Schizosaccharomyces pombe: one gene and its partner. The protein of the gene in region 2 interacts with the protein of the main gene of each other region in a pairwise test. Each region holds a gene or a part of one and is shown on either strand. Other genes may lie near its edges.

Region 1 (4,895 bases), on a different chromosome or scaffold from region 2:
ACTCGTTTGTATTATTATGCCTTTTGACAACATGACGACAATTCAAAACAAAAGAAAAAGGCAACCTATGTTTTAGTTTATACCAAGAAAATGGAACCTAAAAAAATTAAATCCTCTCATTGTTTTGCTTTGCGTCTATCGTTTTGTAACGCACCGACACGCACTGACATACCAAGTGACTTGCTACCTCAGATTATCTGGGGTAGACTTCGGTGGTTAAAAGAAGGTTAGTCCGTGGATTTCACTCCCTTCACCCGCATCTTCCTTATCAGGCCCAAAGGGAGTTAAACGAGTTACGCTCGTTGCGATAACATGTAAGCTACGCAGTTTGGTATCTGATTTAAGGATACGTAGAACTGCGGTGAGTTTTCCTTGTGGTCTATTATATTACAATACACAGGTTGTATAAGTAGCAACTGAGTATAGGTATTGTATTAACTGGGTTATAATGTTACCTATCACTAATATAGCTCATAACTGAACTGAGGAACGAGGTTCAGTTGTAACGCTATTTATAATATTTCTAAATACTTGTATCAACGGGTATCTATGTATATAGAAGGATAGTTACCCGTGATTATCAATAAACGGATCTTAGCTAGTATTCCAACATATGACATATAGTGATACGCAACGTAGTGTAGCATAGCGTAGTGTAGTATTGCTGACATAACGAGAATTTTCGAGATATAAAGAAGAATAGGTTTTCAGTTCATTCAAGTCAATATAAATGGATAGAGATACATAAAATAGAAATTTTAATTGTAGTCGCATTTTATTTTTTATTATTAGTAAAATAATATTTTACTTTGCCTCGTACCATATAGCTCATTCACAGCCTTCCAATGTTTCTAAACTGAAGAAGACTGGAAAAAGGCGAATGTAAAGAAATACAACAGTATAAACGAGATTGACTGCTTCCCAAAATGATTTTTTAAAAGGATGTTTGTAAATCTGCTTGTATCCAACACACTGGGCATACAGTGAAAAGTTATTCTTATGAAACCAATGTGTCAATACGCTTTGTAAACAATGACAGAAAAGAATGTATCAAGAGGTAATGGTTGTAATTATCACGTTATAGATAGGTATGTAATTATTGATATAAATCAAGAGAAAATGTATACGTATCCAGGAATATCAACCTTTGTCGTACACATTATTATGTGTGTGTATGTGATATAGCAGCATCAAACTGGTTTGCTAGATCTAAAAACATATGGACATCTCTTTATGGATACGTATAGATGCCAAACTTTGATGTATGAAGATTTTGACGAGCTAGGCCAGCAAGTAACTCAACAGCCGCATGTACACCATCAATGATGGGAATATTGGGACCTACGGCAACCTGAATCTGATCACGAATAGCTGCTAAAGCAGCACCACCTAAACAAATGACATCTGCACCCTTTGTGTTTGCCAGTTCTTGGGCCTTTTGGACAAGAAGGGTTTCACGCTCTTGTGAAGGCATTTGCGAAAGTTGCAAAACTGTGCGACCTGTAGAAGCAATGGCGGCCACTCGAGTGCGCGAAACACCAAAAGAATCGAGTAATTCGTAAAGCAAACATTCGGAACGATATGTACTTGTAAGGATGCCGATGCGCTGACCAACCGATAAGGCACTGAGGACAGACGCTTGCACAATGCCCATGCAGGGTAAAGCAAATGACTCACGAATCATGTCGACTAGAGGAGTGGGGGAATAACAGGCAACAGCTATAGCATCGACACCATCCAAGACACTAGGAGTTAGGGCTTGGAAGACTAGAGCAGCTGTCAAGGTTGCCTCTGTGATGGAGTCGATGACAGCAGCACCGGGTTGAGGACAAGTTAGAAAGCGCAACTTTACATCTGAAGGCACTAGGGGAACGAGTTTTTCTTCCATGGATGTTGTGATGAAGGTGGAAGAGTTTGGATTGATGACGAGAATGGTAGGCATGATGAGAGAAAATAGAAAGGTAAGAGACGAAGAGAAAGAAGGTAGAGAAGAGAAAGCGAAGAGAAAATAGTAAGAAAAAGAGCAAGCAAAGGGGAAATAGTAGAAAAAAAAAAAGTAAAAGAGAATGTTGAAGCTGAATTTACAGAGACACAAAAAATAATACAGTTTATTGGAAAATAAACCTTTTTTCTAAACTGTTTGTCAAAAACTAAAATTGAAAAACCAGTGTCACAATTTATTATAAAGTGTAGAAAATCGAGTTTCCAACAAAATGGCTTGAAAAACGAAAAATATTTTTAACAAGTAATGACTAAAATAGATTTGATCGTTTGTTTGGTTTTTGCTTATTTACTCTTAGTAGACTAGACTCGACTAGACAATCTATTTCAAGGTTGATGACTAAAAATGCTGTTTCAAGCTGCTGTAGACTGCAATTGAAATTGTCTACAGAATTGATAAGACGCAAATCAAGTGTAAGGGGTTGTTTGAGTAAACTTGGAAACTCCGTTTCCAAGTTGTTCAATGTGCACTCTGATAATGAACACAGTCGGACCCGAAGAGGAGATGAGACTGATGACTAGTAAACAGCGTCAGTGAGTAGCAGCAACGATGGTACTGATAGTATAGGTGATTGAAAAGTTTGTAGGACAATGTTGGATTGCTATGCTATACTTGAGCTGCCTTTGGAATGTTGGTCAAGCAAAGCACAAGCACCACTAACCACCAGACTTACTACTAGCGCTGTTAGGATTATGTAATTGAAATATTCTCATTTACCTGCAAAACGTTAAATCTTCTATATGCACTATCTCCCACTTTACTCTTTTACCGATTCTTTCCCACTCGTTCTACACTTGCAAACTCGAGTCCGAAGCCCGTTCCAACTCGCACCCTGTCCCACTAAAAATCGCACTCCAGAACATCGGTGCTTAGTCTTCTGGTCAAGAAATTTCCGCCGATTGTCTTAATGAATTCCCCTCAAACCTCAATTTAAGTCATCACCTAGACGGACGGGTGCGACTTGGGTATTCCCCCTATCGATGCCTACTTCTTCCAATGACCTTTACCAAACAAGACTTGATGTGCAGACGCCAAATCGATGGTTTCTTTACATTTCATTAGAATTGTTTAACAACATGTATTCTCCGTTTCGTAGCAGCTCAGTCTTACTCAGTGGTGCTCAGTCCGATATACCGAAGGTTGGCAAATGCTTGTTTTTGCCATGCCGCTCACTCGAATTTAGAGCATCGGCAAACTCACTTAGCGTACATTTCCTACTCAATGTAATTTCAGCAATCTTATCTATGTTGATAGAGAGGTATGCGGTAGAAGTGATAATGAGCAAAATTACATGGCCCAGGAGTAATGAGGATTGGAGGTTCCATGGTATAAAAGGTTGATGTGAATACCATGTTGTCTCATCAAATCAAAAGAAAAACTCACTGAAGAGAATCACACTGACCATTGTTCGTCTTGTGCTTCTGCTACAATTGATTTGAATTGAAGTTCATAATAATACCTGGGTGATACAACATCTACGTAAAGTCTTCAATTACTGCTACTCTCCGTAAAAACAACTAAATATTCGTAACTTTTCTCGCTGTCCCAGCTTGTTTACTTGCTCCGATAGCATTGTGCATTATTGACTTGTGTAAATTTCCTTTCAAATCTTAGTTTAATTTCGTTTTGAACAGCCAATACCCATCGTGTGTTGCTATAATCCATTGTTATAGATTTTCGAAAAGAAACAAACATTCGAAAACCACTCTACGCCATTGTTATCAATAAACGAAACGATTGTTGTGAATTTTCGACTTTTGCTCCTCTACTTGTCCAAAGTTGAACTCTACTAGTTTAAACGTTTTTAAGGTTATCAAGAATACCTTTTTTCTCATATTTTTTTTTCAATCCTCCTTTATTACTCGTTTCGTAAGAGAACCCATCTTGTTTCTTACCAACTTTTCTTTAAATTCTTCGTTCAATCATGTCTGCCACTGCTACTACTACGGTTGTGGAACCTCCTACCACCACTTTGACTGGTGCTACCGAGCCACCATTTACTGCTTATACCACTTCTCAAGGTCTTCGTGTTTCCCCTGTTCCATTGCCGGAACACAATACTGATGTTGGATTTGGTGCTTTGATCGAAAATGTTGACTTGAATAACCTCTCGGATGAACAATTCGAAGATATCCGTAAGGCTCTTTTCGAACATCAAGTGGTTTGTTTCCCCAATCAACACAATTTACCCCCAGAGACTCAGTACGCTATCACCCATCGCTTTGATCCCGAGTCTTCTACCTATGGTCACGGCAATCGTACAAATCAGCAAAACAACAGCATCTTACATCCCGATTTGCACACCCTTCCCGGTGTTCCTCAAGTACAACTCATTGGTCATGGTGTTGTGAAGGATCATTACGGTCTTGAAGAGGTCCGACTTAAACATCCTCATCATCGAACTTTCCATCGTGATCCCATTTCTGAGGAGGAAGAAAAAGAAAAACAAGTCACCCGTTTTTATCGTTGGCATATCGATGCTGCCCTTTATGACTATAACCCTCCTGTAGTCACTACCCTTCTCGCCGTTAATGCTCCACAAGGCACCCAAACTCTTCGATATGATGATAAGTCTGGCCATGAGATGCCTGTTCCATTAGGTTCGACAGCTTTCGCCTCAGGCTATCGCATGTACGAATTGCTCACTGACGAGGAAAAGAAGGTGGCTGCTCGTACTCGCGTTCAATATTTCCCTCATGCCTACGTTACAATCAATAAAGCTAGAGCCCTTCCCAATGGTTTGGGTATGTATTCTGAGGGACTTGAGCTTGACAAGTCTGAATTACCTCCTTGGGAGGAGAGCAGGGTTAAAACATTCCCTCTTCTTTGGAAAAATCCTGTAACCGGAAAGCTTGCCTTGCAGACTCACGGATGCTGTGCTGAGAAAATCCTA
Region 2 (3,583 bases):
CGTGGTTTTGATCGTTTACGTGAAGCTGGTTTTACAGAAACCGAGGTCAATAATTTGCGTAGCCAATTTCATCGCTTACGAGGAACTAATTTGGATTCACTCACGGAAGACGCTATCAGAGAGGCAGAAGACGATTGGATTGACAATGGAGGACAAAACTCTTCTGCCGACGAACTTGACATGTCATATGAAACCTTGTTGGCTGGAGTATTAATAGGCTTTTTTGGAGGAGCTATTGCTTGTTATTTTCTTTGGGAAAGGACAATGTTCTCTCTGAGAATGCAATTATCCATTCTTGTCGGAATTATTTGCAATTTTGCATACGGCTTATTACACTCGTATCGATGGTAAACCCGTTCATTTTTGTTAAAATTTTTGTCCAATACAATTAATCGTTCCACTTTTCGTTGCACTTGTTAATTATGACTACAGTTTAATTGAGGATTAATAATGTCGAATTTTATGATCTATTCGCTTTGATCAAGCGTTAACTTATTAAATGTACGTTTAAAACACCATTTGGATTTATTAAGAAGTGTAAAGTAGGATAACTGTAAAAGTGTCGTATTGAGTGTGCAAAAGTAAAATATGCATATATTCATCGCTAGAATGAAAGATACCAATCAGATCCTAAAACAAAAAAAAACACACACAATAGAGGAGAGTGCTTCTAAAACAATAAAAAGAAGAAGAAATATGAAGGATTATTTTACAACCGGTATCTAAATGGGCTGACCCAAGATTTAAGAAAATTTCCAGCGATTTCCGCAAACAGTACATTCACAAAACTAAAAAAAAATTAGTCCAAATATTCTACCCAAATAGACTAATGCTTACCGTTGTCATAGGCTCATCAGCAGATCTATACGGATTGTTAATAAATTTTACGCGATAAAAAGTACTAAAATCATGACAAATAACATACCTTGTTTGCATTTGGTAATAAGAAACTTTTTTTTGCTTACACTTCCCACAAGTAAAAAGGTCTGTAACAGCTTTTTGGGGTTTAGCACCTTGCGCATGGAATAAATTTTCTTGTTCTAGCTTGGCATCTTCCTTGCGACGGTCTTCTGAAGCCAATTCGGCAGAAGTCATGGTACTGAGTCTTTGCGGAGTAATTTCATTTCGTAATACTGATGCTCTAAGTTTCGGGTTATTTTTATCTTTAAGATTCATATACAAGGACCGCATTCTGTTTCGATATTCAGAACCAGTTTTACCTGCTGCTCTAGCAAGTACTTGCGCATCAATTTCTTTGGCTTTGGCTATTATTAATGAAGAAGATTCATCCGAATCTATGACTAATGCATTGTACATTAATCCAATACAGTTGTTGCGAATCTTGTCATCAGTCACATTGACGTTCACATTATCAGATTTAAAAGTACGCTGACCACTGCTGCTTTGTTTTTGAACTTGTTTTTGAGCTTGAGAACCTACATCCGCATGTTTAGAAGGCGTGGAGGAAGTTGTAGTTGTGGTTTTCAATGGACGACCTTTACTAACATCGGCTTTCCATTTTTTTACAATTTCCCGAGCTTGCTCACCAACTTTCTCATTGGGATGAGATCTGAGCTTGCCAACGACTAATCCCAGCCGGGTTTCCTAGCATCATTGGTTAGTATTTTGAATACCGATTCTCCATCAAATGTTGGTACTCTTGTGGAATTCGTATTTTAAGAAAGATGTTATTTCTATTAAGTGAAATTTGCAAAATTCATGTAATATATTGTCAACAATCCGTGCGAGAATACTACCATATTGCATGTAATAAACCTACCTTAAGTAATTCTTCGGTAGCAACTACTTCATTTTTTAAACGTGTCATAATGTTAATTATAGTCTAGCTTGATATTAGCTTCAAAACCATCTGTAAGTCCCAATAGCACAAATTACAAACCTCTATATTCTTTCCCTGAATAGCTTTTTCCAAAGCTGCTTTCGCAGATCGGATATCAGCAGAGTCCATGATTCAAATTAAGTTCGAATACTGTAAACACTGCTGTTGGTTAGCAGATTGCAAAATTAATAATCTTATGGTGGTAGAGGATTTATTTTGGATAACGCGCTTTACATCTCACATGTCTACTAATACCGTTGTGATTTTTCTTCACCACCATAGTTGCTGATGTGAATATCAACACCCCGTAACGTGATTTTGTTAGTTGAATTCTTGAGTTTGACAGTTTTTTTTTCAAGTTTGCAAACTGTTTTCTGTTTATCGCATTAGTACTCGTGTTTATTTTACAACGTTAAATTTTCATGCTCCTCCGCTGACTTGATCTTACTCAATTGTTAATTGTTTTATCAGCTTTGTTTATGAAAAGCAAAGATTATAATGTTGTTTGATCAAATTGAAGAAACTTGATGTTCAAGAATTTAAAAGTTTGATATTCAGTTTATTTTTGAAACTTACTTTGGTCTATGTGTTCGTTCGTTTTCATAAATTTAGTTTCATGATTGTACTGAGAGACTCAAGTGACTATTCCGACTCTGAAGTAGACCTGCCAAGTATCGAGGTGAACGGAGAACGAGGAAATGTTCCTACCTCAGTGCTTTGTAATGTTGAAGGATCTTTGTTGAATTCTAATCCTGCTTTAAGGCAACCAAATTTGAAATGTATAAAACATAATCAAGACGTTGAAAATACTACGTTTCAACTAGACTTGCGAGGCTGTAGGGTTCCTTCTTCTCAACCTCAAGTTATAACTGAGTTAGAAAACAATATTGACATTCCAAAAAATATTGATGCAATGCAAAACTGGATTTTTCCACAGACTCAGCAGTATAGAAATTATCAAAAGGAATTTTGTGAGCAAGCATTATTCCACAATTTATTACTGGCTCTACCTACTGGGTTGGGAAAGACATTTATTGCGGCAGTGGTCATGTTAAACTATTTTCGTTGGTTTCCTGAAAGCAAAATAATATTTCTTGCCCCCACAAAACCATTACTGTTGCAACAAAGAGTTGCTTGTTCCAATGTAGCGGGAATGTCACCAGGTGCTACCGCTGAATTGAACGGTGAAGTATCACCGGATCGTCGACTTTTCGAATACAATACGAAACGAGTATTTTTCATGACTCCACAAACACTCCAGAATGATTTAAAGGAACATTTACTGGATGCCAAAAGTATTATTTGCCTGATATTTGATGAAGCTCATAGAGCTACTGGCAACCATTCGTATGCTCAGGTTATGAGGGCAGTGCTTAGATCTAATAGTCATTTTCGAGTCCTTGGTTTAACCGCAACTCCAGGATCTTCTACCGCCTCTGTTCAAAAGGTAGTAGATTGCCTCCATATCTCCAAACTCATTGTTCGCAACGAAGAAAGTATAGATATTCGCTCATATGTTTTTCATAAAAAGATTCAGTTGATTAAGGTCACGATCTCCTCTGAAATGAATATTTTAAAATCGGACTTTGCTAACCTATACCGGCCATATTTTAATTTTCTCCGTCAAAAAAAACTTATACCTATCAATTGTGAATGCCTTAATATAAAAGCTTATACGCTTTTCGTTTCTTTACGAAAGTATTCCTTTAGTTCAAAAAATGTACAATCTAAAGAAAAATCAAA

What was found. Proteins that work in one complex are often made in the same cells at the same time.
Region 1: the proteins of tfs1 (region 2) and SPOM_SPCC576.02 interact in a two-hybrid assay, tested with the Schizosaccharomyces pombe proteins (2 studies listed by BioGRID, with this or other methods).

The regions. Positions count from the first base shown.
Region 1 is NC_003421.2:2,079,694-2,084,588, reverse strand, and holds SPOM_SPCC576.02 (hydantoin racemase family protein), read right to left. Parts: upstream 2,883-4,895; 5' UTR 2,720-2,882; intron 2,678-2,719; 5' UTR 1,943-2,677; coding exon 1,232-1,942; 3' UTR 562-1,231; downstream 1-561. Other genes in the region: SPOM_SPCC576.19C (uncharacterized protein), read left to right, coding at 2,983-3,342; alpha-ketoglutarate-dependent xanthine dioxygenase Xan1, read left to right, coding at 3,927-4,895.
Region 2 is NC_003424.3:2,114,413-2,117,995, forward strand, and holds tfs1 (general transcription elongation factor TFIIS), read right to left. Parts: upstream 2,045-3,583; 5' UTR 1,970-2,044; coding exon 1,901-1,969; intron 1,844-1,900; coding exon 1,781-1,843; intron 1,606-1,780; coding exon 926-1,605; intron 863-925; coding exon 838-862; intron 789-837; coding exon 744-788; 3' UTR 501-743; downstream 1-500. Other genes in the region: protein dsc3, read left to right, coding at 1-351; ATP-dependent 3'-5'-directionality DNA helicase fml2, read left to right, coding at 2,457-3,583. UniProt on the Schizosaccharomyces pombe protein: Necessary for efficient RNA polymerase II transcription elongation past template-encoded arresting sites.